Drosophila melanogaster: one gene and its partners. The protein of the gene in region 3 interacts with the protein of the main gene of each other region in a biochemical or structural test. Each region holds a gene or a part of one and is shown on either strand. Other genes may lie near its edges.

The links.
Region 1: of the proteins of Uba2 (region 3) and Sumo, one has a biochemical effect on the other in vitro, tested with the Drosophila melanogaster proteins (one study listed by BioGRID).
Region 2: of the proteins of Uba2 (region 3) and lwr, one has a biochemical effect on the other in vitro, tested with the Drosophila melanogaster proteins (one study listed by BioGRID).

Annotation. Positions count from the first base shown.
Region 1 is NT_033779.5:6,959,748-6,969,403, reverse strand, and holds Sumo (small ubiquitin like modifier), read left to right. Parts: upstream 1-1,759; 5' UTR 1,760-1,896; intron 1,897-2,018; 5' UTR 2,019-2,103; coding exon 2,104-2,376; 3' UTR 2,377-2,624; downstream 2,625-9,656. Other genes in the region: Coprox (coproporphyrinogen oxidase), read right to left, coding at 3,713-4,885; sip2 (septin interacting protein 2), read left to right, coding at 5,587-5,660, 5,850-7,509, 7,574-7,813; Hmgcl (3-Hydroxymethyl-3-methylglutaryl-CoA lyase), read right to left, coding at 7,931-8,857, 8,917-8,961; Atac1 (Ada2a-containing complex component 1), read left to right, coding at 9,151-9,656.
Region 2 is NT_033779.5:533,567-544,086, forward strand, and holds lwr (lesswright), read right to left. Parts: upstream 9,015-10,520; 5' UTR 8,864-9,014; intron 8,814-8,863; exon of another isoform or gene 8,785-8,813; 5' UTR 8,682-8,784; coding exon 8,202-8,681; 3' UTR 8,143-8,201; exon of another isoform or gene 7,671-8,142; intron 7,603-7,670; 3' UTR 7,033-7,602; downstream 1-7,032. Other genes in the region: ush (u-shaped), read left to right, coding at 2,457-3,400, 3,471-3,865, 3,983-4,183, 4,297-5,683, 5,744-5,886, 5,952-6,390; Spp (signal peptide peptidase), read right to left, coding at 9,675-9,783, 9,850-10,520.
Region 3 is NT_037436.4:8,120,522-8,132,007, forward strand, and holds Uba2 (Ubiquitin-like activating enzyme 2), read right to left. Parts: upstream 7,298-11,486; 5' UTR 7,184-7,297; coding exon 7,040-7,183; intron 6,986-7,039; coding exon 6,831-6,985; intron 6,778-6,830; coding exon 6,490-6,777; intron 6,434-6,489; coding exon 4,918-6,433; 3' UTR 4,806-4,917; downstream 1-4,805. Other genes in the region: msk (moleskin), read left to right, coding at 1-229, 294-490; ldbr (lariat debranching enzyme), read left to right, coding at 1,398-1,594, 1,650-3,057; CG7550 (uncharacterized protein), read right to left, coding at 3,216-3,938; mRpL36 (mitochondrial ribosomal protein L36), read right to left, coding at 4,131-4,517; Cds (CDP-diacylglycerol synthase), read left to right, coding at 7,738-7,848, 8,563-8,687, 8,931-9,027, 9,093-9,269, 9,331-9,819, 9,904-10,035, 10,100-10,312; Setx (senataxin), read right to left, coding at 11,276-11,413, 11,476-11,486.

The DNA of each region.
Region 1 (9,656 bases), on a different chromosome or scaffold from region 3:
CTAGAATCAAGACAGCTACCGCAATACTTTTCCAATCTCCTCCGCTCTAGGTTGCCTGTGTTGTGTGGTGGTGTGGCGTGTAAGTTGATTCCGGGCTAAGAAATTTTGTAAACCAAAACCTTTTCCGTAAGTTTGCCCCGGTAAGATTACGATATCCTCGCCTAACCGCCGTGGATCGGATGGATGAGTGAGTTAGTGTAAGGGAGCTTTCCTCTGTTTGGTACACATTGCGAACTGCTCCGATGGCCTGTGGCAATCTACTCCATTCATCCATTATGTCTGTAACCAATTTACCATTTCGATCTTTTCATGTACGTTGAGCTGATTGTTATCGTACTGAAGACGAATCCGCGGCGGAAACTCGCATAGAACAAACAGAAAACTGCGCAAAGGTTTGCTTTTGGTAACTGGTAACGATTGGTTGTGGTTGGTCAGGTCAGGGGTCTTTCGAGCTGGTTAGCCTCCACTTTGGATTGCGGACGGTGACAAAATTCTGGGGGTCTTTTATTTTTGTATTGTATTGTTTGGCAGACAGGATCCATGCAATTGCCTTTTCGTACCGTGCGACATACGGGAAACAAACTATTGTGTAGCAGGGCATTTTTCCTATTACACCATTATTAAGAAAAGCGGACAGAGATCAATGTCACATTTAGATTTGATCAAATAAAGAAAAGAATTCCTCCTTACACGAAAAAGTACTTGTTTCATTTCTAAGTATTTATCAAGATGACTTGAATTTTTTACAATTTTCGCTTGTTAAACTGGTCTATATGTCCTGGATAAGAAGATTTGCAGTGGCGTCCTTGGAATCTCTTTAAAAATGTATACATTTGTTGCAAATAAAGCATTGTGAAATCTATGGACATTAAATGCGACCTCTATTGGAAAACATTCACATATGTCGCAAATTATTATAAGCGGATATGATAGAAAATGTTAAAGTAAAAGGGACTAATTTCAAGGATGAAACATTGAATATCAATAGCAAGCATTTTTCATTCCAACCCGATAAGTACCTATGTACCCAGTTATATTACGAGTAATGGGTATCAGCTGATCGCTACCTTTGCTTCTAAAATGGCATACTGCGTATATCAATAGGCGACATATCGATATAATTGACTGCTATCTCAGCAACATAAAGAAACTGGAATATTCTAACTGTATTTTGCATGCGAATATAAACTTTAGCCGTAATCTTGTCGAATGCTACAAAAAACTACCCAGTAACTTATTATTCTGCCTTTCTTTAATTCGATTCCCTTTGCCATTGAGTACCCGATAGTTAAATATTTGTATGCTGCCCTGCGTACACTGGCCTACAAGCAACTCGAAAAATTCAATTATGTTCGCCGATAGTTAAATAATTTGATGTGGCCCTGCTCACATTGGCTAACAAGTAATGTGAATTAATTATGGGTATAGATATTGCTTGAATTGCAATTCTCATATCACTTTTTTTTTAATTTTCCGTAATATTCATCTTTACGAACCATCCCAATACTTATGCTTCTATTTAAATATTAACATTCATATTTATATTAAACATATATATTGACTCTCTAATATGCTTTAAATGCTATTTAAATCGATTGCGTGCTTAGCATTACATTTTTTAGTCCAATTGTTTGAATATTTTTTCTTTTCGGCATATATCAAAATTACTTGTTAGGAAAAACGTGACCGAAAACCGAAACAGTGACAATAATGGATGGTTGCTGGCGAATCTATCGACTACCTATCGTGTATCGATACACACCGATAGTATCGCAAAAGTTAACGAGGTAGGTCCAGCACCAGTTTTTTTGGCGTGTAGCTGTAGCAGAAGCAAAAGGAAGCCGCTTGTGATAAATTTCAACTTCCATCAGCAAGCACTGAATTTGAGGAAATCAGGTAAATTTTTGCATTTCTACGCGATTAGTTGCTGCCCCGCGGTATTGTGCTTAGTTTTTACGTGTGGTTTACCAATTTCCGCGTACTTAATTGGACATTTTGCCTCGTTTTTTTTCGTACAGCACGCCCGGCATTCGACGCTCCGCAAAAGAAAAAAAAAACTTTTTTGACCACTTAGCAGCTTCAACAAGCAACCAAAAAATCAACATGTCTGACGAAAAGAAGGGAGGTGAGACCGAGCACATCAACCTGAAGGTCCTCGGCCAGGACAACGCCGTCGTCCAGTTCAAGATCAAGAAGCACACACCCTTGAGGAAGCTGATGAACGCCTACTGCGACCGTGCCGGACTCTCCATGCAGGTGGTGCGCTTCCGTTTCGACGGACAGCCCATCAACGAGAACGACACTCCGACCTCGCTGGAGATGGAGGAGGGCGACACCATCGAGGTTTACCAGCAGCAGACTGGTGGCGCTCCATAAGATTACTTAGTTAAGTTAGTTACTCCTCTTACAACTACACACTTAAAACGAAAAAGAAAAAAATACAAGAAAAACCACAAAAGCAAAAACACAACAACAACAACATGAAGAATCCAACAAACCAGGCCCTAAGAATCGATTGAATATGCTTTTAGTACAACTGTAGATTCTAAATGCGTCTGTGTGCGTAAATAACAAAAACATTTGCAGACAAGAAAATGGTAAATAAAGCATTTTATAAACTACACAAAATTTGCCGTCTTTCGCTATTTATTCCTGCGCCTGATCGGCGTTTGTTTTTGCCCTTCTGCAACGAAAAGCCGGTGCGAATTTCCCGCTTTGTGACCCTCTTTCTAAACAGCACGCACACACACTGTCATTGGCATGGCACGTCTGTGTGCGAGCAGGACTGGGTCCAGTGCGCGTGTGTGCGTGCAAATTGATATACATACACATCGGAGAACACTGAATTTGCGGGAAAAGTACAAGCATACATATACGCCTGCGAATTTGCGAAGTCTGGGAAAACATAACCTCAAATTTGAACAAGAAAAAAAAATGACGTCAGTTTTGAGAACCTTCTGGAAATTACATAGAGGTAACTATAACCTCAAAATTGGGATCTAGTAATACGCTTGTGTGTTTGTGAAAGCCAAGCCATACATGATGATTGTGTATGTATACCATGTATACATACATACCATTCATGATGTATGTGCGTATGTGCTTAAATTTTCAAAGGTACAGTTGTGTAAAAAAAAACTATGATGAAAAATTAAAAAGTAGATATGTACGTATGCATACATGAAGTCATGTCGACAGGTCCTGTTATATTAGACCGGCTGTATATGTATATGTATATGTGTTCATTTTTAATATTGGTATTGGGTAAAAATTTCCGAAATTTTTCTTATAGATTTTTTGCTGTCTCACCATGACTCAGCACCATACATATATACTTTATATTGTAAAACATTTATTTTCCAGGCCCTTTAATTATGTATTGAGAAGCAAAGTAATGAGTCAAAGTCGAAGTCTATTGAGTTTGTTCATACTTTGTTGCATTTCATAGATGAATTTCATAACTCGTAATAAAATTAAAATTCATTAACATTATGTATTTAATTTTACTTGTTGAGTCCAATTTATAGTATTATTTGCCAATGTATACTGTATGTTGAATGGAATAAACTAGTTTTTCAAATATGGATAAATAGTTAGGAAACAATAACATTTTGTCATGTTTATTTGCAACAACAATTACAATATGTACACATTAAGTTTTAAATATAATGCAAAAGGCACCGGTTCCCTCTTAAGAACAATTAAAAATAGCTTAGACCCAATCCTTGGGGTTCTTCAGGACCTTCATCAGTTTGCCCTCCTCGGACTGGGACTTGGGCTCGTGCATGTACTCCCAGCGGGCGTGCAGGGGCAGGGACATCAGGATGCTCTCGTACCGGGCTCCAGGCGTGTATAGACCGAACTTGGTGCCACGATCGTAGATCAAATTGAACTCCACGTAGCGCCCGCGGCGCAGCAATTGCCACTGTCGTTCGTTGTTGCCATACTCCCGATTTTTGTGCTTTCGTACCAGCGGCACGTAGGAGGGAATCACGGCCCTGGCGCAGCTTGACACAAAGTTGAAGGCCGCCTCCTGGTTGGGCGAATCGATGTCGTCGAAAAAGATTCCGCCAATGCCGCGGCTCTCGTTGCGATGCTTGATGCGGAAGTAGTCGTCGCACCACTTCTTAAAGCGCGGGTAGTAGGTGGGATCGTGCTCATCGCAGGCGGACTTCAGCGTCTGGTGGAAGTGGGAGGCGTCCTTCTCGCAGAGGTAATAGGGCGTCAGATCCGTGCCGCCACCAAACCACCACTGCTTCTCCCCCTTGGCAGTTTCCACTTCAAAATAACGATAGTTGAAGTGAATGGTGGGGACATGGGGATTCCTCGGATGGATCACGGCACTCACACCGCTGGCAAAGAACGGCAACGAGGCGCCCTCCTTCAGATTCTTGCCGCGAGCCCGCATCTGTTGTACTGCAGCCGGGGGCAACGAACCGGTGACCACGGATATATTGACGCCTGCCTTCTCGAACACATCGCCATCCTGCAGGACGCAAGTGATGCCGCCTCCGCCCTCAGGCCGCTCCCACCGGTCCACCTTGAACTTCTGGCCACAGTTCTCCTCCGCCTCCAGGGCGCGGCAAAACTCCGCCTGGATCTCCATGATCAGGATCTCCATGCGATGACGCATGTTCTCCTTGTCCCCCAGCAGTGCCTTGGAGTCGGTGATGGGCTCGGCCATGAACCGCGAGGTGTTCATCTGCACCCCGTTGACCTTTGGGTCGACAGCCTCCGCGGAATGTGCGTACGTGACCGCCGAAAAGCTGGCCAGGCCCAATCCCGTGCCGAGGAGAAAGCCTCTGGCGTGCGGCCCCCTGGTCCGGCGCACCAGTTGAAAGGTGCCCAGCGATACCAGGGATATCGTGTGACGGAGTGCGTTCATTATGTGCTCTCGCCTACTTCAAATTTTTAACTTAACTTAAGTACTTTCGCCGAACGCAGTTTGTTTGTTATCTTTCACTGACCCGGCATTTCTAGTTGCATAGTCGCCGGTGTGACCGTGATATCACCAAAATATACCGAAAATAGGGGGCTCGCGATTTTGTTCTATTTACAGAGATACAAGAAGTTGTAACGTTCTTATAAAAATATTATATATTGTTAAGAACACTAGCTAGCTCAATATGTCTGTATATATACACAAAATAATAATAATAAATAATATATGTTAAAAGTTACGGAGCAGTACAATTGCTTTTAATGGTAGACATATTTGTCTTAATTTTATATTATTATTTGTTATAAGTGATATAACTCCGATGATGTATATGTGTAGTGTCCATTGGAATACCCCATTCAAAAATATAAGCGCAATACGGGCACTCTGTCGTGGCATTTGAAATAAACGACTGCAAAGGCGCGTCGATCGTTGGCAAATGAGCGTGCTGTGAAGAAATCCATGAAATATTTGCGTGTGCGCCTTGAAGATTAAGGAAGATCTGCGTGAATACTATTGCCAGAAGGTAGGTGATCGACTGGAGCGAACTCTAAATCCTCTGAACTATAGTCAACGCGCAATTATACGTGTTTATCCCGTCGACTGGAGTTTTGCACCCAGGACACACGCACACTCGCACACTCACGATGTCTGGCCTCAAGAAATTCCAAAACACTGAGGAATGGCGTCAGAAACTCCGTCAGTTTCTAATGACCGAGCGGTAAATACACATTGAAACCCATCCTTGGATAGTGTTGCACTAGTGTTCGATGAATTTGTAGTCATTTACTTTCAAACAAGCCACCTGCATGTCAAAATTGTTAGAGAAACAGTACGCATAAATAGTTTGGACAGTTTAGACACACATACAATTTAGTTGAGAAAACTAATAACAGTTTTCCTTTTTCAGCTTGCCGAAAAAGCCCGTGAAAATGGACGAAACGAAGGATATGCGCTATAGTTTGGAGATCGACGAGGATTTGAGGAGACCCTTGGAGGCGCGGGCCAAGAAAGTTCTGGCCGTTAATTCTGCCAGTCAAAGGACTGTTAATCTCGGCGAGGATACTATGTACGAGGCAGGTGACTTGGAGCACTTGGACGATGGCGATGATAGCTTCAGTGCCTTTGAGCGCATGTGCGACAAAACCGGTTCCGATCCGGATAGCACTCTTTTCCAGTACCTGCACAGCGAGGACCGGAGTCAGGTGATGGCCAGGGCTAGGGATCATAGCACCGACGATCAGAAAGAGATCGATGCACTGCGTCGCATGCTAGAGGCAGTGGGTACAGAAGACGATCTATTGGAGAACGAAAGTCCCGTCAAGGGGGCGGAGTGCACTCACCTGGAGGACATTGAGGCGCCGTCGCGCTTTTGGGACAACACCCTGGCCGGAATGGACGAGACCTCATCCGACTCTGGGCTGACTCCTAAAGCATTGACCAAGGTTTCGCCTGTCAAAATGGTGGGGCTGCTTCGCCCCTCAACCATCATCGAAGACAGCGAACTGGAGTCGTCTGATGTGTCTTCACACACAAGCTTCCAAAGCGCTCGCACCCTAAAGACAAATGCATCTAGTTCTTACGAAACAGCCACGGATACTTCCCTCAGTGGAACGCTCCTAAACGTCGACGAATTGTTTTACGCCGCAATTGCCAAGGCCAAGCCACCAGGAATGTCCAAGGGAGAGGAGCTGGAGCTCTTAAGCGATCTTCATGGCAGTCTTAGAGAGCTGGCCTCACTTCCGAAGGATGAGGTCGAGGAGGAAGAGGACGATATAGAGGATACAATAATCGAGCTATCCTCTTCTGACGATGAAGAAGTGCAGCTAGTTCCAGAAGTAAAACAAGAAGACACGTCCCGTGTGTCCTCAGTCCACGGAAAAGATCACACTGAGCAGAAACCAGCGGAGAAGAGCGTTGAAAATAAGGAAAATTCGTTGCATTTCAATGATACCATGGAAGAAATGGAGTACATGATGCAAAAGGGTATGGAGTACATGGCAGGTGGGGCTCCTTCAGTCGCCGCAGTCAAGGCAGATTGCCCTGTGCTGCCCAAGACCAAACAAAGCACGTTCGTTGTTTCACCGAAGCCGGAACCAAAATCACCGGCTGTAGCCTTTTTGCAGCCATCAATTCCGCTGCGGTCATCTAATCAGCCACAAACAGTTGTAGGTTCATCTAGCACGGGTAGAAAGCCGCTCAATGTCGGCCTCACCATGGAGTGGACCAAAAAGAAATTTTTCAGTGCAGCCTCTGGTATTCCTCAGCGTCGCCAAAATCAGATAAAGCAGCCATACGCCAACATAGTCAGTCCCATACGCACCTACACCCAGAAGTCTGGTACTGCTCCGCTAATGAGTACATTCCGTCCAACGAGTTCTGATATGCTATCTACACTGGCCATCAGTGAGTTGGAGCAGGAGTCTCGCTTGTGTCATCCTAAAGCACTTTTCGCAACAAAGGACGAAACACCCAAGTCCAGTGAAGCGGAATCTTTAATTATCAATGGAATCGATTCAGCCGCTGATCTGCTTCCCAAAAAGGCTTACATATCTTCCGAAATCAAGCATGTAAGTTTAAATTTATATATAAGCCATGATGAGTGAACGTAAACTAATACCTTCCATTGAACAGGTGGTTGATGAACGAACTCCTTTGCCCATGCCGAAGGTACCTCAAATTCAAAAATACCTCAACTCCGCCGTGGAGCCTACTGTTATGCGCCACGATGGCAAAATGAAAATGCCCGGCGAGGCAGTCCGCAATCCGTCGTCTTCGCATATCCCACGACGCGCCAATCACAGCCTGGCTGATCTGTCGCTCGCCTCAGGCGACGTGTCCTTATACACAATAAGAGATGCCCAAAAGTTTTAAGGCCCATAAAAGTACTTCACGCTCCTTGACTAAATATTGCAACGATAATAAATGTATTGTGTAACTAGTGCTAGTAAATGCCTTCGTTTTCGTTTGATAGTATCAATGCTTGCATCATCACTTAACTCGCGCCTGCGGTCCCTTCCACGCTCGATTAACCTTGGACTCTGAGGTTCTGCCCAGTTCGGTGCAGATGTACCGCCCCACTTGGATCAGTTTGTCTAGGTTGACGCCAGTATCGAGGCCCATGCCGTGCAGTAAGTAGACCACATCCTCGGTGGCTGCGTTGCCTGACGCCCCCTTGGCGTAAGGACATCCGCCCAAGCCAGAAACGGAAGAGTCCACCACCCGAATGCCATAGTCCAGTGAGACCAGTATGTTGCTCAGAGCCTGACCATAAGTGTCGTGGCAGTGCACGGCCAGATCTTTAGCCGGGACGACCTTGGTCACCTCATCCAGCATTCGGCGCATTGTGCCTGGAGTGCCCACACCAATGGTGTCGCCCAATGAGATCTCATAGCAGCCCATTTGGTACAGGGCTTCCACCACTTTGACGACAGCACTCGGCGCAACAGCACCCTCGTACGGGCAGCCAACCACGGTGGAAACGTAGCCCCGGACGCGCACACCATGCTTTTGGGCTGCTTTCAGCACAGGTTTAAATCGTTCGATGGCCTCAGCTGCCGTGCAATTAACGTTCTTCAGCGAAAACGCATCAGATGCGGCTCCAAAGACTGCCACCTCCTCGGCTCCCGCCTCCAGAGCACTCTCGAATCCCTTCAGATTAGGCGTGAGGACTGGATAGCTTATACCAGTCACTTTGCGGATTCCTTTCAGCACTTCGGCATTGTCGCCCATCTGTGGCACCCATTTGGCGCTCACAAAGCTGGTGGCTTCTATGGTTCGCAGTCCTGTTTCGGACAATTGGTTGATCAGCTCGATCTTGGTGGCTGCCGGCAGGAGTTTGGGCTCGTTTTGAAGACCATCCCGCGGTCCAACCTCCACAATTCGCACCTGATTGGCCGCGCTTGTAACCGCCGTGCGCTGTTAGTTTTAAAATTATTAAAATATTGTCAAGTGCGTTCGATTTTCCGTGAAATTACCTTTGCTGTAAGTGCAAGGATAGAGCGAATTGGTGCACTTATCATTGCTAAATTTGTAAATAAACGTTACGTATTCCGCTTCTTCTTTTTTCGCTGATAACAGCTGATAATGATCCAAGATCGATATGTTGCTAAATTTCGATAACTGTTTTGCTTAATGAGCTGCCATCTCTAGCGCAGAGGCGTAAACACATTTTTTGTATACAAACGGGTATTTGGTGCTAATTCTTTGTAATGGAAATAGCAGAGATATCTGCAGAAGATGAGGATGTGTTTCACTTTGAGACCGAGCACCTGGCCCTGCGTGGCAACCAGTGCTATACCAATTTGCTGCGCACTTTGGCCGTGCTGCAGGCACAAAGGATTCGGGTGCATCAGCAGATTGAGGAATTGGAAGCCACACAAAATATCTACTTGGAGAATCCGCAACATATGCTGGACAAACTGCGAAACAACGAGCCTTTGATAGCGGATAATTACATCACCACGACCGTTCTACCGGACTTGCCAACTCTGTCGCCCAATGACGAGGAAGGGGGCACAAATGAGACACCGACCGATGCGTCTTCATGGACGCAAGAGGCGAACAAGAATCGGGACAGGAGCAATGGACGGTCGGAGAATTTCAATCGCTTGTGGACCAACGAAGAGCAGAGTCGCTTGGAGCAGCTGCTCATCCAGTATCCGCCAGAGGAAGTGGAAATGCGCAGATTCGGGAAGATAGCGAAGGCCTTGGGCAA
Region 2 (10,520 bases), on a different chromosome or scaffold from region 3:
TAGCAGCGACGGCGGTCCGCGGGTTGAAAGCCAGCGACAAATGAACAAAGGGTCGATCCTGGGGATCTGCTCCTTCATTTGGCTCCCCTCCATCTCTTTTCCTGGCCGAGATCGGGACCTGGGCCAAATTGTTCGATTGTTTATGGCTGCCAACAACGCCCACCGAGTGAAGTTGCCAAGTGAGAAACCAGCAACAATCATCTGGCGGCTGATAAAGTGCCAGGTATCCCCGGCCCACATGCACCACCTTCCCTCACCTCTCCTCCCTGTATGTTTTTGTTGTGTCGCTTATCGGCGAGGATCGATCGCAGCTCCAGCAAGAAGAAGAGAAGAGAAGAGTAGAGAGACCTGACGCTGAAGACGGCGGCGAGCTGATTTAACAAATTGATAAACAATTGTTGGCGTTGGCCGCAGGGAGGGGAGATGCGCGGAGATGCCCGGGGAATCCCCCCTCGCCATCCACACAAAAGGTGTGTGGGGCGGCGTAACGTTACGAAATGGCTAAACAAACGATCGCCCGATCGCAATTTCAGCGAAGACGGCTTGTTCCCAGATCCCAAATCGATTTCGTATGCGAATGCGAATGCGTAGCCTTGAAATTCCGTACACTTGGGCATACAACTGTGAAAGGTCTTTCATACTAAAATAGTATTTTTAATATAATATTGTTGAAATAATATAAAAAGCCATACACATTTCAAATAGATTCGTTTGGTTTGAGAAATCGAAATAACTATGTGTATTTCTCCATTTGAAACCGCCTAATCTGAAGGTTTGCAATAGGTTTTGGTGCTCAGAACCGAATCCGCACAACAATGGAAAAGAGGAAAGGGTGTTGGGATGGCACTCGCGAAACAATCGCTGGTGGAGATCTGCTCCACCAACTGGTGAACCGCCGCGCTGAGAGATCCCGGCCCGGTCTAATCCTCGGCGGCAGAGGCAGCTGTCGCTGGGGGCAGAGCTAGGGACTCCGAGCCAAGAGCTGGGCACCCAAGTCAGAGCTACAGCCGAGACCCAGCCAAAAGCCATTGTTAGCTGTTAGTCTCCCGTTCGCACTCTATCGGCGCTCGGCCATCTCCCTGCCCTTCTCCTCGCGGAGGCCTCTTCAGCCCGGACAAAACACTTTACGTGTGCGGCTTATCGCCACCCAATCGAAGGCAATAAATATCTTACAAATAAGCAGAATGCCTCGGAATGCCAGCAGAGCCCTTTATTTTTGGAGGGGCAGGGTGAAGCGATTCTTCTAACCGATTGCTCACGTGCAGAATTGTGTGAATTCGTGAAAAATCGACGGCGGCAATTAGGGCGGGCCGTCAATAGTTTGGCAACAGTTGCAACATTTGTTGCAGTGGCAGTGGCAGCGGCAGCGGCAGCGGCATCACAAACAGCAGCAGTCAAAAGACTCAGGCAACAAACTTGGTCTGCACAGCGAGAAATTTGGGATTGCTTTCAAAACATTGCTGTTTCGTCTAATAATACGAATATATCAAATGTTTCTCTCATGGGCTTATTCGGGAAATGAATGACTTTAAAACTAACTACTAAACGATTTTCTGTGTATAAGTCTCTCTTGTTTTCTCTACTTGTCGGAGTCGCTCTGGATGTGCTGACATTTCAATAGCCATCAATTGACAGGTCAACGCGCATCCTCTCCAGTCTCCCATCCTCAAAGGAAATCCATGGACGAGGGAGGACTCCAGAAGGGGGACATTTGGGAGCTGGAGCCCGCACGAGCAGGGTAAATGTTCGCTCCGGTCGAGATGTCGAATTTCTGGCGAAGCGAGATGCAAACTGCAAACTGCGACGCTTATCCGGCGACTCCATCTGCATGCCATGTGTGTGCCATGTCCACGTCCACTTCCACTGTCCGCCGCCATAATCTCGGCCAGCATCGCCGTTGGTCGTTATAATATTTCGCCGTGGCCAAAACAGAAACAAATCAGATGTCAGTTCGGGATTCTGGCCAACTTCGAACTTTTGCAGCGATCCGCGGGGCCTAATCATCAGTGACCACCATGGGCTTTTCTTTTCCCCTGCCCATCTCCTTCCATTTCCACCAGCGTTTTCCACGTAAGAGATGGCCACAGTGGATAAACTGCCCCTGCTGCTCCTCCTATGCAGCCTATGCAGCCTATGCAACCGACTGCTGTCGCATTGTTTTCACAGCTCTGACCACTGACAATTTGTTCGATAATAATTGCCAAACCAGCTGTCTGACACATAGATTCCTCATGGGCAGCGGATGCAAGAGATAGGATGCCGCTGTTGCGGATTCCGCGAAGCCAATTTGAGGCACTAAACTGCCATGTAACTGTCTGACCCCGAAGCAAATTCTCATTCTTGCTTGAGATAAAAATTGTGTATAAAATCCATTTGTACACATTTAGTTTAAGTCGTTCTTTATTCTACTTATGGATAATAACTAATATTGATATATTTGTTCTAATTCTTTGCAGATTCCAAAGATCTGAGTGCTCAGGATATAGGCGAGCAGAAGCAGCAGCAAATGGAGGACCAGTTGGAGGATCAGTTGAACGATTCCAGAGACCCCCAAAACAACAATAACAATATCGATGACGACGCTGATGAAGATGCTGAGTTCGAGGAGCCAGAAAAGGCCAATCCCCAACAGGATCAGGATTTGGGAGAGACAGAGATGGAACAGGAACACGATCTTCAGCAGGAGGATCTTCAGCAGGAACTGCCTGCAAACAGCCCAAGCACTCCGCCCAGGAGTCCCAGCTCTCCCCAGCTGATTCCCAAGCTGGAACAGCCCGCTACGCCGCCCTCGGAGCCAGAAGCCTCTCCGTGCCCCTCACCCTCACCATGTCCCACGCCCAAGTACCCCAAAGTGCGTCTGAATGCGCTCCTGGCCTCAGATCCTGCCCTTAAGCCAGATGCCAAGGAGCTGACCCTGCCGGACTCTCGTCTCCTGGCTCCTCCGCCGCTCGTCAAGCCGGACACGCAAGCGCAACCGGAGGTAGCAGAACCTCTGCTAAAACCAGCCAGATTTATGTGCCTGCCCTGTGGGATTGCATTCAGTTCGCCCTCAACTCTGGAGGCCCATCAAGCCTACTATTGCTCTCATAGAATTAAGGACACGGACGAGGCTGGCAGTGATAAGTCAGGGGCAGGAGGATCGGGAGCCACAGCTGGCGATGCAGCAGGGTTGACCGGAGGCTCCACCGAGCCACCAGCCAAAATGGCCAGGACAGGAAAGCAATATGGCTGCACCCAGTGCTCCTACAGCGCGGATAAGAAGGTATCCCTAAATCGCCACATGCGCATGCACCAGACTTCGCCAGCAGCTCCCACACTGGCCGGCTTGCCAAGTCTTCTCCAGAACGGAATAGCGCCGCCGGGAGTTACGCCCAATCCGATGGAGGATAGCTCTAGTCAAGTGAGTAAAGTGTTGAGGTGCCAGTTGCCCCTGGAGTCGCAAGCTAATGATAAACAAATCCCCTCCACAGCAAACCGATCGCTACTGCAGCCACTGTGATATCCGGTTCAACAACATCAAGACCTATCGAGCGCACAAACAACACTACTGCAGTTCGCGGCGACCAGAGGGACAGCTCACGCCCAAGCCAGACGCCTCTCCGGGAGCAGGTTCCGGACCGGGTTCCGCAGGCGGATCCATAGGAGTATCAGCCCAGGCGGCTACGCCCGGCAAGCTGAGTCCGCAGGCAAGGAACAAGACTCCGACTCCCGCAATGGTCGCCGTCGCAGCTGCAGCAGCGGCTGCCGCTGCCTCCCTCCAGGCCACGCCGCATTCGCATCCACCTTTCCTGGCACTGCCCACCCACCCGATCATAATTGTGCCCTGCTCGCTGATCCGTGCAGCTAGCTTTATTCCAGGCCCACTGTAAGTTCCCAGGAGAAAAATCCCTAAATTGCATCCAGTTGCGTTTGAGGATGGCTTTGAAACAATGTATATAAAATAATTAGGTATTTGACTGAACTATTACATTTTTATGTGCAGGCCCACGCCGAACTCGGGAATCGTGAATCCTGAAACCACCTGTTTTACCGTGGACAACGGAACGATTAAACCACTGGCCACTGCCCTAGTTGGCGCCACCTTAGAACCCGAACGCCCTTCAGCTCCATCATCTGCTGCTGAGGCCACAGAAGCCAAGAGTAGTCCTCCGGAGCCCAAGCGAAAAGAGGCAGGGTTAACTAGGTTAGTTCCTAAATATTTGTGATTCACGCATCAGATAAAAGTTATTACTATGGCTAGACTCCCCTGATGATGAAAACCACTGAATAACGCATACTCTTTTTTACTACCTTCAGAGAATCTGCGCCTCTCGATCTCTCGCTGCGTCGATCGCCAATCACCCTGAATTCACTGAGCTTGCGTCAGCGCCAACTGCGGAATGCTCTCTTAGATGTGGAAGAAGTACTCCTTGCCGGCGTAGGAACCGGCAAGGAGAACGTTGAGACTCCGAGAGGAGGTGGAAGTGTGACTCCCGAGCAAATCGTTTGCGCTCCCTCCCTGCCGAGCAGTCCTTCGATGAGTCCCTCGCCCAAAAGACGAGCCATCAGTCCACGCAGTTCCGGGGCTGGTAGCGCCTCCTCCATGTCACCACCTGGTCTCAATGTGGCTGTTCCCCATCTGCTCGACATGCGCTCCATGCTACCTGCGGACTTTGGACTCTCCGAGTCGCTGTTGGCCAAAACCAACCCGGAACTGGCTCTGAAACTGGCGGCGGCAGCGGCCGCAGCTGCTGTGGCGGGCAGTAGTGGAGCAGCAGCCTTCCCGCCCGCTTCTCTTCCTGCCCAAACTAGTAGTGGGAATCCGGGTAGTGGAGGATCGGCAGGTGGCGCCCAGCAGCCTCAGATCTATGTGAAAAAGGGCGTGTCCAAGTGCATGGAGTGCAATATTGTGTTTTGCAAGTATGAGAACTACTTGGCACACAAACAGCATTATTGCTCGGCAAGAAGCCAAGAAGGTGCGAGTGAAGTGGATGTCAAGTCGGCCGTTTCACCATCCATCGCTGGAGCAGGAGGACTGGGAGCCGGAGCTGCAGAGGCTGCTTCGTCGGTGGAAACCACACCGGTGGCATATCAACAGTTGATCTGCGCCGCCTGCGGAATTAAGTACACTTCCCTGGACAACCTGCGAGCCCATCAGAACTACTATTGCCCCAAGGGAGGAGCAGTTGCTGCCCCTGCCGCGACGCCCACGGATCCTGGCCAACTGGGCATGCCAAAGGAGAAGTGCGGAAAGTGCAAGACATTGCATGAAATTGGTCTGCCTTGTCCACCACCCGTTGCGAATCCTCTCGCAGCGCCGACAGTCAATCCGCAACCCGCCACCAATAGTCTGAACAAGTGTCCTGTTTGCGGGGTAGTGAGTCCCACAGCAGCACTGGCCAAGAAACACATGGAGATGCACGGAACAGTAAAGGCATACCGCTGCAGCATCTGCCAGTACAAGGGGAACACTCTTCGCGGCATGCGCACCCACATTCGAACCCATTTCGACAAGAAGACTAGCGACGTAAACGAGGAGCTATACATGACCTGCATCTTTGAAGAGGATGCTAGCGCGCTGAGTCAGGAACTGGTTACTCCAACAGGGGCATCTACCACAACTGGACACGATTCCATGGATCATCCCTCGCAGATGTTCAACTGTGATTACTGCAACTATGTCTCCACCTACAAGGGCAATGTGGTGCGTACTCCTTTTTATTGCTGCCAGACCAAAGAACTCACTATAGCTTTTTCCTTACAGCTGCGCCACATGAAGCTGATGCATCCCCATGTGGCCATCAACTCTCCCTCCATTTCCCCCGACACCAGAGATCAAGATGTGACTTCCAACCCCACTACCAACCAACACTCGAATTCCGATGTATCCAACGGTGAAGCACCCAGGTAAGGATGACAGGAAATTATCTACATTCTTATTACTATATCTTCTCTAACTTCCTCGTCCACAGTTTCCACATTAAATCGGAGCCTCTGGATCCACCACCGACTGTGAATCTGGTGCACGAGAACAACAACTCCCCGATCGCCACGCCACATATTAAGGCTGAGCCAATCGAAGTCGGAGCGGATGCTGCGCCCGGCGGGCTGGTTCCGCCGATGACTTCTCCGCTGGGAAACAGCAGCAGCGTGGCTGCCGCAGCAGCTGCCGCCGCCGAGGTGATGAAGAAGTACTGCTCAACCTGTGACATATCCTTCAATTACGTGAAGACCTACCTGGCTCACAAGCAGTTCTACTGCAAAAACAAGCCCATTCGCCCCGAGGCCAGCGACAGCCCCAGTCCGAATCACCTGGGCGGAGGCGTTGCCGTGGGCCTGGGCATTGGCGGCCTGGTCGGCGGACACGGCCAGCAGAAGAACAAGGAAAACCTGCAGGAGGCGGCCATTTGAGAAAGCCAGCTGCGGTGGGAGGCGCAGCGCAAGCAGCTTGAGTGGTATTACACGTGCTTCTAAGCAGCAGCCCAACCCAATCGAAACTAATCGAATCCTAGCCTCCTTTAAAAATGTACACTATCCAAACCGCAACCAACCATCGACGACAGTATTCCCGGAAAATCTCCCGTCGCTGCCCTCCACTTCCAACTCCATTTGGGGACTGACTCCTTCGACTTACCGATCGATAGAAGTAGATATATACATCGTACTCCCGTACATATACAGTACACCTAAAGGAATAACACATAGATACTTAGGTACATTAATTTAGGCGCATACCCATTAAGTGGGAACCATGACATATAATGCATGCCAAAGCTTACCACTTAGACAGAAATTAAATTGAGGGCGAGAAACTACAAGTTTGCAATGGTCTGCGGAGTAGAAGGAGGCGAAGTATTCCAATGTAGATCCAATACTATAATGTAAATTACTCGCTGTTCCCCATAAAGCGAGCAATTCTAACTGTGTAATTTAAATGAGTACATTATTTATTAAGTGTGTGCGACAATAAAAGTAATTAATTTATTCAATATAAAATATAGTGAAATTAGTAACTAAACGACATTTTACATTTTTGAATTCAACGAACGATTTGAGTGCTGCCAGATTAGCGAAAAATGTTATGACGACATAGTTGCCAGATTGATTAAAATATTGTCAAACATCGGACATATTACCGGATCAATAGAAAAATATTGTGGCATCCCTAATAAAAGAACCGTTAGATTAGACCAGGCATCAGATAGATCAGCTGATCGTTGGTAGCCTACTAGAAGTTCTGTTCGCCTGGTACTCAGAATAGAGCATGCCCACCAAAACCAAGACTTTGGGAATCCTGGCGGTTGTTTTAAAAACACCTTTCCACGCTTATGCTTCCCTGGTAATTCAGTTCGAAATATATGAGCATCCTCGGGAAAAATAATAAATTCAGCTGTCAGTATGCCGGATTCCCCAGACTGAAGTACCAGGCGAACACAAATCTCAGTAGGTGTTTTAACTGGGCATTTTTCAATATGGCGGCCTCGTTGGAAATGAACCGTTAGCTGGAAGCATTGCTATATCAGCAGCGAATGCTACCAGATCAGCCAAAAATTATGCATAGTAATGTTGGCGGACTTGCCAGATCAGCTGAAATAGTTGGGAAATGTGACCAGCTTCAAATGCCTAAAAATCAAATAAAATATAAAGGTAAAAATGGACTGAACAAGTTTTTAAATAAAATGCTTAAATTTAAAAATAGTCATGTTACTTAAATAATAAGCAAAAGGAAGAACTTTATATGGAATAATTCAAGCACTAAATCCAGCTGTACGGCTACTGACGACCAACAAGTGCTCGACTGCACATTTGCTGGGAAATCCTTTCCGCTTTAAAATGCATAAGCTTTTACAACTAATAAATTTTTATTGAAATTACATAGGTTTGTACGTAGTACTCGCGATACAAAATAGCCCGTAGAATAATCGGCACCTGCACCCAGAATGGAAGCTGAAAAGAGCGTCGAATTCTGGGTGCCACGTGGCCACTTTGGGCCTCATCGAAAAATTACAGGACTTATTTGTATTTATTCAGATGGTACATGCTGGTAATTAAGCAAGTGCAGAACATTAAAAAATTAGATGCTTCGGGCCGCGGGGGCTATCCAAAATTAGTCGATTCTTTAAAAGTAAGTAGACGTGGAGAGCATTCCAAACAAACGCTTACCGGCTAGATGTGTGTATTTGTTAATGTCTATGTGGTAAAGGTGGTTGGCAGGAGCCCGACTACTCAGTGGCCGCCATGGCGCGGGCCTGGGCACGCACGCGCTTCTCGTACTCCAGTCGGTTCTGGCAGTAGATGGTGTAGGCCTCCGCCTGGGCTGGGTCCTTGATGTTCGGCTCGTTGAGCAGGTCCTGGATGCCCAGCAGGATTTGCTTGATGGTGATGGCGGGGCGCCAGTCCTTCTCCTCGTCCAGCAGCGACAGGCAAACAGTGCCCGAGGGATAGACGTTCGGGTGGAACAGCGGCGGTTCGAACTTGCACTTGGGCGGCGAGGTGGGGTAGTCGTCCTTGAAGATCATGCGCAGCTTGTAGAGCCCGCCCTCCCAGGGGGTGGACTTCTTGCCGGGAATGGCGCACTCCCAGATCATCAGGTTGAGGGTGCCGTCAGGGTTCTTGGCGGGTCGTGCGACGAACCCGAATGGGTGATCCTTGCGCCAGGCCTTGCGCTCCTCCCCCAATCGTGTAATAGCAATGCCGGACATGGTCGTCGCTGCTTGCTCGCTTCTCTACTGCCGCCCGAACGTGTCCTCGAGTCCTGGATTTCCGCTAGCAGTCCCACTTGGCCTTTTTTGCACGCGCGTCTGTCTGCGAATGTGTGTGTGTGGGTAAGTGGCCTACGAGGGGCTTTGTCGCCTTTTGGCGCGCTAAGTGCAAGAGCACCTACCTCTCTGTTCGTCCTTGCGTCTCCAGTGGTTCCAAGCAAATTAATTATTTGCAATCGCGGGGGGAACTCGCGCTTTTCGCAATTTTTACCGCAATTTTTCAGGAATGAACGCTTGTGCTCGCTAAAGGTATAAGTTTTTCTACACAAAGGGTCTCACTATGCGGTTATCGATATTTAGTGTGGCCGTGGATAAACAGTGGTATTAAAATACTGACTTTTTCAAAGCACTTTTGTATTATGTTTTAAATTTAAAAATTCTTTGGATTTTGGTAAGCTCAACTTAAAATGTATTAGGTTTTTCTCTTAAGCCGTTACATTCCTAAAAACCCTCTACTCAATACAAAACTAGTTTAATTAAACGTTAGAATTAAAATTTATTCGCATTACTGTTTACACAAATTACTGCATTAGTTTTAAGAAATGCAATGTAGAATTCGTAGTCAAAATTGCACTGTTTACAAAAATTGGAATATATTTGTATCTAAACTGTTCTTAAACATATAAGCCTCCTGTGCGGAGCCACAGAAATATTTGAAATACATATTTAAATTGATTGCGGTAAAAAAGTCGAGGGAACATTTTCTACAATTGTAACCTAACCGAACTAAATAAGATTGTTGTGCCTGGCCAAGGAACGTACATAACTAACTCAGTAAGTGAATCGTCTTTTGTAGCGGTGTTAGTCCATATGAGCTATGGACTGCGGTAGATGGAGAAGCCATATCGAAACGAAAGGGAGCTTGGCTAGCTGCAGAAGACATTTACGATGGAACGAGTGGGGATGTTGTTCGGATGTTGCGTCCTCCCGGCTCTACTTGCCCTTTTTCGACTCCTTCTTTTTGCTGCCGGACGAGCTGACGCCCTCGTCCTTCTCCTTCTTCTCCTTCTTTTCGGGCTTCTCCTCGGGATGATCTTCATAGCTGCAGTGGGGGCGAGAATGAGTTAGTTTAGTTTCAAGTCGAGCGCCCAGCGCAGTCCACACTTACGCAAAGAGCACCTTCAGCTCGCCGCGGATGAGGGCCACCAGGAGGGGCGTGCCCATGCAGGCTGGCACCAGGTAGAGCAGAGCCGGCTGCGCATGCTTGAACACATGCATCACGAAGATGGTGGCCAGCAGGCCAAGGAAGTAGGCAATCAGCGTGGAGTAGAAGTAGATGCGCGTCTTGCGCTTCTTGCTGTCGTCGAAGCGCAGCAGCAGAGCGATGAAGATGCCCGGAATAACGATGTCGCCTAGTCCCAGCATTGCGAAGTTCGAGGCGTTCAGGCCGTTCTCGATCAGGTCCTGGGGGAACACTAGCTTGATGGGCGCCTCGAAGCTCTTGGCCACGGTGACCATCACGTTGGTGCCGAATACCCAGAAGATGTCGTAGAAGAACAGGCCGCTCAGCAAGATGACGCCCGTGACGAAGTTGTTCAGGTGCAGCATCTCCACGCCGTTGATGGCGAAGGCCAGACCGAACAGATTGTTGGCGATCCAGTGCTTCTTGAGCAGGTACCACACTCCGATCGCCGAGGAGATCACCAGGCAGACAATGTCGTGCGTGGAGAACTTGTAGTTAACGATGTCTTCCTTGTGCTTGCCCTCCCCCTTAGTGAACAGGATGTGGAAGGGCACCTTCGGCACGGCGGCGGGCATCAGCGAGTTGATCACCGGACT
Region 3 (11,486 bases):
CCGGACTATCTGGATAAATTGGCCGAATTTGCCAAAACCAAGGGCAATGAGTCGGGCTTCGAAGTGAAAGCCGAAATCAAGGACGACGATGCTGACTCGGACGGTGACGCCGAGGAGTCTGTGGGTGATCTGAACGAGACTGGACTGGAGTCGTTTACCACGCCCATCGACGATGAGGAGAACGAAAGCGCCATCGATGAGTACTGGACGTTTAAGGAAGTTATTACTGGTAAGTTGTGCTGAATTTTGTACACCATTGGAAAACTAACTAATAACCTAATCTTCGCCATCAGCACTTTCTGCACAAGACCAAGCCTGGTATGCGCTGTTGACCTCCAACCTCACACCTGAGCAAGCCAAGGCGCTGCAAGAGGTGGTGGTGACGGCTGACCAACGCAAAGCCGCCAAGGAATCGAAGCTGATCGAGAAGCAAGGTGGCTTCGCCTTTCCGCAGACTGCCGTGCCCACGTCGTTTAAGTTCGGCTCCTAAGAAACTGAATTGACCAGATCACCAGACACTTGGTTCGATTTCTGACTTGATTGTTTCTCATATTCTTTCCAAAAATAACAAAAACATCAAACAAAATACATCTGGCATGCTGATGATGGCTTTGAAGGCATTCTCTTGGTTTTCGTACACTCCGTGTACCCATGTATGCTGCGACAATCGGTCGATTAATCAGATTAAAAAATCGATCGGTCGAGCGGCGACGAGACCGCACTATATTTATTGTAGATTTATATTTTATTTCCTATTTTGTGGCCAGGGCGGCCAACTAAATTATGATAACTTAAGTCCATTGTAAATCTTTGTATGTAAACGAAACGAAACGAAACGAAAAACAAACACGTCAGGACGAGAAGGTCTCATTAAATGAGATTGTGCCCACCAGCACGCCCCCGTAGAACTCCAAAAAAAAGTTGGCATCTAGGTCAGAGAATGAGAATTCAACGCAGAGCATTTCACATACATTTTCTTTATACACACATACACGTATATTCTGTACTAAATGAAGCGATATTTTTGAAAAATAAAAAAAAAAAATTTTTAACGTTTGAACTGGAGAAATCTTTTTCTTATTTGTGTACCTTTTTGTGAGGTATTTAAACCGTTCAGGGAACGAATTTTATAAGTACATCTAATATATATAATTATATTTAATAATGCTAAGTGCTGAAAGACTTTGTTTCCGGAAGATTTCAGCAGTTTAAATATTGGCGGTCATTAAGTAGAGTTATCGATAAGAGCGTCCATCCTGTCGTTCCCCAAAGACGTTTTCTCACACTGAATTGCCGATCGATAAGCGATATCAGAACGCGTTATTTGTTTGGACAACCGGTTGCATTTGTTTACAACCAAGTTTTATTTATAAAGTAGTAACTTACCTTTATTAACCATGAAAATAGCTGTCGAAGGATGTGCACATGGCGAGCTGGAACGAATATACGACACCATAGAGGGCATCGAAAAGGTTGGCGGCACCAAGATCGACTTGTTATTGTGCTGTGGCGATTTTCAGTCCACCCGGAATCTGGAGGATTTGCAGACGATGGCTGTACCAAAGAAGTACCTGGATATGTGCTCCTTTTACAAGTGAGTAGAGTTTCGACAGCTTGTGGATCAGGAGGTAATCCATTTATTTTTAAAGATACTACAGTGGCGAGCTGGTAGCACCAGTGCTGACCATATTCATTGGCGGCAACCATGAGGCCTCCAATTACCTGCAGGAGCTCCCATACGGCGGTTGGGTGGCTCCAAATATTTACTACCTTGGTTATGCCGGCGTCGTCAATGTAAACGGTGTTCGGATAGCTGGAATAAGCGGAATCTTCAAGGGTCACGACTTTTTGCGCGGCCATCACGAATTCCCTCCGTATACCGATTCCACGTGTCGCAGTGTCTACCATGTGCGGCAGCTAGAAGTCTTTCGGCTGAAACAAATTTCCGGGCGAGTTGATATTTTCCTGTCCCACGACTGGCCCACCGGCATCTATGAATACGGAAACAAGGCGCAACTGCTCCGCAAGAAACCATTTTTTGCTGCAGACATGGAAAGCGGGAAGCTGGGTAGCCAGCCACTGGAGGAGTTACTGAAAGCGGTCCAACCGGCCTACTGGTTTGCTGCCCATTTGCATTGCAAGTTTGCCGCTTTGGTGCCGCACAATCACAGCCAGAAGCTAGGAGATGCTGAATCTTCCTCTTCCAGCAGCAGCAGTGAAGATGAAGACGAGGAAAGGGAGAAGGTAAAGAAAGCTGCTCCTGTACCTCCACCATCCAAATCTGTTCCCGTGACCAAGTTTCTGGCTCTCGACAAATGCCTGCCACGTCGTGCTTTCCTGCAAGTGGTAGAGGTACCCAGTGACCCCATCGAAGGCACTCCCCGCCTGGAATACGACGCAGAGTGGCTAGCCATCTTGCACAGTACAAATCACTTGATTTCAGTGAAGGAGAATTATTATTACCTGCCCGGAAAAAAGGCGGGAGAGTTTACAGAGCGATCAAACTTTACCCCCACTGAAGAAGAACTAGAAGCAGTGACCGCAAAGTTTCAGAAACTTCAAGTCCCCGAGAACTTTGAGCGCACAGTGCCAGCTTTCGATCCCGCGGAGCAGTCTGATTATAAGCACATGTTTGTGGATCAACCCAAGGTTCAACTAAACCCCCAGAGCAATACGTTCTGTGCCACTCTGGGTATAGACGATCCGCTGTGCTTAGTTTTGTTGGCGAATGGCCTAGATCTGCCTGCGGTGGGAGCTACCGAATGCAAGGATAGGGAAACAAAAAGTTCTAAGCTGCAGGCGGTGGAAGAAGACGTGGCTGAACCATTGGTTACGCCAACTAAAAGGAAACTTAACTTATCCCTGCCAGCACCTACAACTGCAGCAGCTGATACCACCGATGAAAACGTGATAGACCTGCCCGAGGAGGAAGCTGAAGAAGCAATTATAGCAACGGAAACGCCTCATGTAGAGGAACCTGCATCAGTGCCCGCTAGTCCCAATGTGAAAAAACTTAAGCGACGCAATCAGAACATTTACCAAGCGCAAGAAGATTAAACCCAAACAAATTCCGTGAAAGCGGAGCGATTTATACAAAAAAAGGAGGCAATTTTATTTAAATAACACAGAAGATACTTGGCTGATACGATCAGCCAACGGTTGATTATGGGCAAATAAATAGGAGGGTGTTAGCTGCTGGGAAGCGAGATAACGACTCACTGTGTCCCGCTGGCATTATCGGCATAGACCTCGTCGGCGCACTGAAAAGCGGCCTGCATCACCGATTCGGGCGTGTCCACAACATCGCAATAGTATGTATCCGGTGATGGGATGCAGTGCAGCTGCACCTGGCTGCCCTCTGCCGTGGCGCGATAGAAGCGACACTGTCGCGGTCCATATGTTGGCATATCCGCATCGTATGGCGGACTAAGAATGTCGAAGAAAGCGGCTACGCCGCTACCAATTTGGGCAATCTGGTGGTAATTTCTCTTTCTAGGAGTCAATGTGGCACACGGACTAGCCGGCGTGACCAATTTGGGTTCCTCGACATTCACCTTCACCACTGTTTGATGGGGGTCATAGGTGAGCGGCTCATCCGGGCCTAACTGGTGCGAAAAGCTGTCCACCATTAGCTGACCCCAGATGCAGCGCAGCAGACCGAACATCATGGGGTGATCGTGCAAGGGAATAGTGCTCGCTCCGCGCACTATAAACAGGCTCATGGAGAAGCGATCATCCTCGAATATATGCATGTAGCTGCAGGGTGCCCGATGGCTTCCCACGTTGCGAAAGAGCTCCTCGCGGAGGTGCAGATCCCGGTAGGTCAGCTCATCCGTCAATTGACGCAGATGCTGCAAATTCGCATTGAAGCTGGCGTGATTTGCCCGGTCGAACGTTTTGAATGCCTGCCGCAGTACATTGCTGAAGTGCGTCGTCATCTTTTTCGGCCAGGTGTACTGAACTCCGGTCGGATACAGTAAAAAGCAAAACAGGCAAGAAACGACTGCGATATAAACAAACAATCAGCTGATACAGTGTTAGGAAACGTATCACGGACTACTTGGATTATTTTTCTTTTATTTATTTATGAACATATTTAAAGAAATGCTTTTATTAATGCCTAATTAGGTCTAATAGCCGCGCTCCTTGGATTGGGTGGCGTGCGTCAGGATCCACGACTTGTAGTCGCGCTTCTTCATCGACATCTGCTTGTGGCGTGGATGCGTGGGGCAGATGACATAACCGCGCTCCTGGCGCACCACGATGTAGCAGTCCTTGCAGCGTCGCTTCAGGCGTCCCTTGACCTTGAATCCCGCCACCTGCTGGACCAAAGTGGAGCCAGGCGTCAGCAGACCCGACGTCTGACAGATTCCAGTTGTGGCGGCCACAAGTTGCGAGCTTTGAATTGATACAATTGCAGGAGCCGCCGGCCGGGTGAGAAGGTGGAAACCACGCGCGGCACTGAGACCATTCCACAAGCGGGAACCTTGTTGCAGTATTCTACTAGCCAGGGACATCTGAAATTTGCATTTTCATTGAGATTTACAATGAAAATTTGTAGAACAGCTCACCTTTTTCTGTTTTGGATTGAACTGGTCAGAAACCGATAACAGGCACAATGACTTCCAGTGCTTCGCAGCACTGGTTGGCGTTAAAAAGTTATCGAATTAAAAATTTGACTAATTTTAAATGTTATTTTATATTTCTTTTATTTAATAAAATTACATTTCTCGCACTGGATTATTTGAATTTAATCGAGTAGAGCAAAACCAAACCCGTTCAAAGCACAAAAATTTAAAAATTTTATCATCCACAAAAATGTGTTTTTATTTTAAATCAGAATGAAATTACAGGGAATCAAGAGCATAATTTAGTGCGCAGTTGAGAACTTATTCGAATAAAAACTTCTTTTTTTTATTAATCGATACTGATGACTGCCACGGGGTTCGAATCGTCCAGGCGGGAACGTTTGCACTTGGTTGGTCCCGCGGGTTCGTCGTCAGACGACTCCAAAATCTCGGTGATATCCTCATCCTCGATTACTTCACATGGCTTGCGCTTGGAGCCCGATTTTGGGGGACTCTGCACAGAGAGCTTGTCTGTGGCCACGACAACAACATCTGCTTGGTCTTCGTCTTCCTCGATTACCAGACAGTCATCGTCATCTTCCTCAACCACTTCGTTGGGCCGGCTGCGCTTCGAAGTGGAGGGTCCATCGTCCTTTGAGTCTCCTTCCCCGTTGGTAGAACGCTTCTTAGCCGATTTCGGTTCATCCTCCTTGTCTTTCACGGCCTCCTTCTGATCCTCATCCTTTGGCTTCAGCTGTGAGGCATCTGCTACGACTTCGAACAAGTTTTCATCGCGCTCCGCATCGAAGTGGGAAATGATAATACTCAACTCGTAGTTCTGGAAGAAGTCGTCGCACTTGAGGATCACACCATCCACAATGTTTAATTCGCTTAGGAGCTTGCCGTCATTGCATTCGGTCTCGCCCTCCTCTGAGGAGATTAAAATGGAGCCATTGCTCTGCACAGTCACATCCGGATTCAACATGTTGAGCGTCTTAACCAGGACCTCGTCACGCAGCTCCTTTATACGCATGCGCTTCGTATCGATCTTGAGAGTAATGGCCGGATCGCTGGCGCATACATGGCAATTGGGATTGGGGCCAGGAAGAGAAGCGTCCGGTACAAGGAAGTGATTTCGTGCATTTGGTCTAAGTCGGGCATAGACGGCCTTGCACTGCTCCCACTTGGCCTCCAGCACTTTGAAAGCCCGCATCACGGAAATTCCCGCCGTAATCGCATTTGTGGTGGCAATAGCAGGAATAATGTTTCCCGCCATTGACTTAATCTCGAACCTTGACTTTCGCTCAATGTCGAAAATGTGGGATCGCACGTTGGCGCAGGCCGCCACGAAATCCATGGCTGGCTGGTCGTCCTTGTCCCAAGCCAGAGTATCGTCGCCTTCGAGTTTCAGGAAGTTAGCGCTCAACTCTTTTAATGAATTGGCAAAGACCTGAGCGCACTCCTCGATGGACCACACCTTGTGATGCTGCTTGGCCACATCCTTCTGATCACCGGAGGATCCTTCGGGCAGCAGGGTATCCCACTGCACGGGCACGGGTGCCTTGCGGGTCTTCCACAAATTCGACATACGCAACAAATAGGTAATGTCCTCGTTAAAGAACTTGTTGAACAGCTTGCCCGCATCATAGTTGCAGTCCTTGGCCCATTGGCGAGTATTAATGCGCATTATGTTGCCGTTGGCAGTATCCTCCTTGGCCTCCTTTTCCTCTTTTGACTCTTCGCCTTTTTCCTTCCCATCGCCTTTGGGCTCGCCATTTCCATCGCCGCCGTCTTTTTCTTTTGCATCGGGATCAGCAGCATCAGGAGAAATATCCTCATCTTCCAAGGACTCACCAAACAGTTGACTGCAAATAAATCAATAGATTTGCTGCAATTTAGACTAATTATTAGGTATACTCACTTAAAGAGATGCTTGGCCCAGACAATGCAGTGAATCGGTTCGGAGGGCGTATTGCGTATGGTGCAGCCCGGGAAGCTTCGCTGTTTGTCTTTTGGAGTGCACTCGTAGCACTGGGTGAGTCCACGCTTGATCAGTTCCACCTGGCCATTGTAGCCGGCGGTGCCGCTCTCGATCAGCGGGACATCCGCATTGAGGCACATGCGATTTACATGATTCCTGGCGGCCCTGTTGTCCAAGGCGCTGAGCACCAAATCGAACTTCTTAAAGAAGTTGACGCCATAATCAGTACTAAAAGGTATGTGTTGTTAGCAAGATGTAAAGGCAAAGCTATCCCAACTTACGATGTTACACTGTCGTGGTAAGCGGTTATCTTAGCGTCCGGATTGAAGCTCAGTGCGCTTTCCCTAGCCACCCGTGCCTTAGATTTTCCAACGTGCTCGCGATGGAATAGGAACTGTCGGTTCAAGTTGCTAAGATCAATTGTGTCCAGATCGATCTGGGTAACGTTTATAAATTAATAATATGGAATACTTTTTTCGAAAAAACTTACAATTTCGATGTCTGTAAAGCCGCTAAGCACAAGGTTTTTGAGCACCTCGCAGCCGATTCCGCCGGCGCCCACGACCAGCACCTTGGACTTCTTTACCAGCTCCTGCAATGTGGGTGGGAAAACACCATTGATAGCTGCTGCCATTTTCTGAATTTACGTTTTCCTTTTTCTTATTTTTGGCGAGAAAATTGCAAAATTGCGATACGGAAAAGCCGAGAAAAGTGACGCCGCCGGTGCAGGTGTTGGGAAACGTATAAAGCTACGGATATTCTCTACCAGGGATGGCTGATATGGGTGACTCTTATTATCACTTAAATTAACTTTTCTAGTATTATTAATATATTTTATTTTACATATTACGACAAAAGTCACCGTTAATTGCACAGAAAAAGAAAGTTCTTTTAAAAGACATCAAACATTTTCTGTCCGAAAAGTCAACTTGTAAAACCTAACAGCAATTGAGCATACTTGCCAACACTTTTGCTCCACCAGCCCACTTTGCGCAAGCTGGGCACACTGCATGCTGGGCTAATCAGAAATAGAGAAAAGCATTTTAATTCGGACGAAGTCGACATACGGATCACGCAGCACGGGTCACGGCAAACGGCAAACGCGGAGAGCGGAACACGGACGAGAACTGCTCAAGCGGAATCAATAGGAATCAATACATTGTGAATAGATCTGGCGAACATCGAATAATGGCCGAAGTGCGACGCAGGAAGGGCGAGGATGAGCCACTGGAGGACACGGCCATCTCCGGATCTGACGCAGCCAATAAGCGCAACTCCGCCGCCGACTCCTCGGACCATGTAAGTAGCAATGACTTGTATGTGGAGCAGCCGAGCGGCAGCTGTTCCGGACACCAATTTGCATAATTCTTGGAGCATAGAAAAGCCAATGTGTGTATACCAACAAATGTGTGTGGCTATGTGTTTTTGTTATTCTCTGACGCACAAGCAGGTGGGAGAAAGAAGAGAGAGCTCTCTCCTGGAGAAAATCCAATAACAAACACAAAACACACCACTAGCCAGCCAGCCTGCCTGCCACCCAACCACCCACCTGCTGTGTTGCAATATAGCGCCATTATGACCAGCAAATCCAATTAGATGGACTACGCCAATTAGGGAAGCACTGGGCCAAGAACCCAGAGCCGAAACCATTACCATGACCAGACTCCCTTTCTGGCTTGGACTTTTTTTGTTATTGCTGGGTGATAATGCCTCCTTATCAACCAAGCTATTTGGCAACAAAACACGCCACCCAAAAAAACCCGCAATTTTTCTCCCCACTTGGTTCCCCTCTCTATTTTATGTGCCTGTGTATTGGATAAACGAGTGATTCTGATTATGGGTATATAGGCACATACATACACGTATCATGGACTTTGCTCGGCGTCGTCCAATAGAAAGTATTTAAACCCTGCACTCCGGTCGTATCGAATCTGATAGGAAACCTACTTTGCAGTCCCAGCCAATGCAATCAATAAGTGAATTTTCCCTTTCCCTTGCTCCTCCTCCTGCCAGGTGGACTCCGAGGAAGAGAAGATTCCCGAGGAGAAGTTCGTCGACGAACTGGCCAAGAATCTGCCGCAGGGAACCGACAAAACGCCCGAGATATTGGACTCGGCCCTCAAGGATCTGCCGGATAGGTATGTGAAACAAATCCATATGCGTAGTTGGGATCTTTAAAGATCATGATGAATAGCTAAAGGTCGATTTGGAATTGATGATTCAAAAAATATTTTATTGAAGTGCGAATTTTATAAATCCGACAGAATGAGTATGAGTGCGTTCCAAAAATAATCCATATCCACAGCTGTCTACAGTTGGCGAGCAAATATTAAAAGTAAATATGTACAATTACAAACAATTATTTTTTGCGCATTCCACAGATGGAAGAACTGGGTGATTCGCGGCATCTTCACATGGATTATGATCTGCGGCTTCGCATTGATCATCTATGGTGGACCGCTGGCCTTGATGATCACGGTAGGTTTAATGGAATTCGCTTAAACGAGTCTTCAAATAATCGTTGTCCTACTTTCTCTTTGCAGACGTTACTGGTGCAGGTGAAGTGCTTCCAGGAGATCATCTCGATTGGCTACCAGGTTTATCGAATTCATGGCTTGCCCTGGTTCCGAAGCCTTTCCTGGTATTTCCTGCTTACCTCAAATTACTTCTTTTACGGAGAGAATCTGGTAGACTACTTTGGCGTTGTAATTAATCGGGTGGTCAGTAAATAATACAATAACCTGATTATATCGCCTGGTAAATATGCAATTTCATCTACAGGAATATCTGAAGTTCCTGGTGACCTATCACCGGTTCCTTTCCTTCGCCCTGTACATCATCGGGTTCGTTTGGTTCGTGCTCTCACTGGTGAAGAAGTATTACATCAAACAATTCAGCCTGTTTGCCTGGACCCATGTATCCCTGCTGATTGTCGTCACCCAGAGTTACCTCATCATACAGAATATATTTGAGGGGCTCATTTGGTTCATCGTACCTGTTTCGATGATAGTGTGCAATGATGTCATGGCGTACGTGTTCGGTTTCTTCTTTGGGCGCACTCCCCTCATCAAGCTCAGCCCCAAGAAGACCTGGGAGGGCTTCATCGGGGGTGGCTTCGCCACCGTCCTCTTTGGCATTCTGTTCTCGTATGTGCTGTGCAACTACCAGTACTTTATCTGTCCCATCCAGTACTCGGAGGAACAGGGACGCATGACAATGTCCTGTGTGCCAAGCTATTTGTTCACGCCCCAGGAATACAGCCTTAAATTGGTAAGTGATAATGTATTTCTATGGAGTTATGGGTTACCGATTTGTTGTGCTGATAGCTACAGTAATAATTTTTTTCATTTCCAGTTTGGCATTGGCAAGACTCTAAATCTTTACCCCTTTATCTGGCACTCGATCTCCCTGAGCCTGTTTAGTTCCATTATTGGACCCTTTGGTGGCTTCTTTGCCTCTGGATTTAAGAGAGCTTTCAAAATTAAGGTAAGTAATCTTTTCGGAACACAGGTCTTTTCAATGTAACGCAACACACCATCTTGTTTTGCAGGACTTTGGCGACATGATACCCGGACATGGCGGCATTATGGATCGTTTCGATTGTCAGTTTCTTATGGCGACCTTCGTTAACGTTTATATATCCAGCTTCATCAGAACTCCGTCGCCGGCTAAGCTGCTGACACAGATTTACAACCTTAAGCCAGATCAACAATACCAAATTTATCAGTCCCTCAAGGACAACTTGGGCGACATGTTAACCTAAACTTGATCGGTTACCAGTAAGATTCGGACAAGACGTTTGCTGAGTCGTACGTTCTATATGTAATGCAGAAATTTCTATATATATACATTGATATATATCTGTAAGCAAACGGGCCGGCAGTTTGAGCAGCCACATAAAATAAGTTAATTACGGGCATAATTTTTGTTATGTTATTAGTCCTTAGTTAGATTTTGTTGCTACATTTTAGTTAAATTCTTAAGTTAGTTTTTATTTTATCTTGCATTAAGTTATTGCGATTGTTTTATTTGGCAGAACTCTACACAGTGCAATCGTATTGTTAAGCGATTCCATTAATTTTAATGCCCTCGTGACAAGGCGTCAAGGCAAGGCAAACAGAATAACTATGAATTTAATATCGACTATGTGTGTGTGCGTGTTGTTAGTGAATTTAATTACGATAACTATAGCTTAGAGATGATCAGGCAGACAACGCCAGAATCTGGAGATTAGCATAATTAAAGCGCATTTTAGTTAAATACCTGAGGGACGAAATTATGAGATCAAGATACCAGGAAAACTCTTGCAATGCTGTAATTCTATATATAATAGTGCAATATGCAGACGTTAAATAATTGATTTAACCATTTCAATATTTATTTATTTACTTTTATTCGGTCATACACTACGCCATGCATAGTGCAACATCCTCAACCCGTGAATCTTTCTCAAAAAGTACATAGATGATATATAATCGGTTACTTATAAATCCTGTTATACTGTACGGCATTTAAGAACGAAAATGCAATTCGTCGGCGTTTTAAAGAACTAAATGTACAAAGATTTCAATATTAAATCTTACAGTCTCTATGTTAAATATATATAAAAATAACAAAGCCTTTTTTTAAACAATGTGGGAAGCGCTTCTCTTCCATGGCACTTGTGATATCTTAGCATCTAAAAGGTAGTTTTAATCTCATTAACTAATAGGGAACGTTGTGTCCCCTAAATTAAGTTGATAGTATTCACCATCATCTTTTTGATTAAGGAACGGTCTAGGTCGTTCACATCATCGCGGTCCAAATTGAAGTAAACTTTCCTCTTGCGAGCATCATCGAGAAGGTTGCGCCACATTTCAACAGACTACAAAATTAAGAAAAGTTCATAAAAAACATGTTTTATTTCAATTAAATCTGGATACTGACTTTTAGATCTT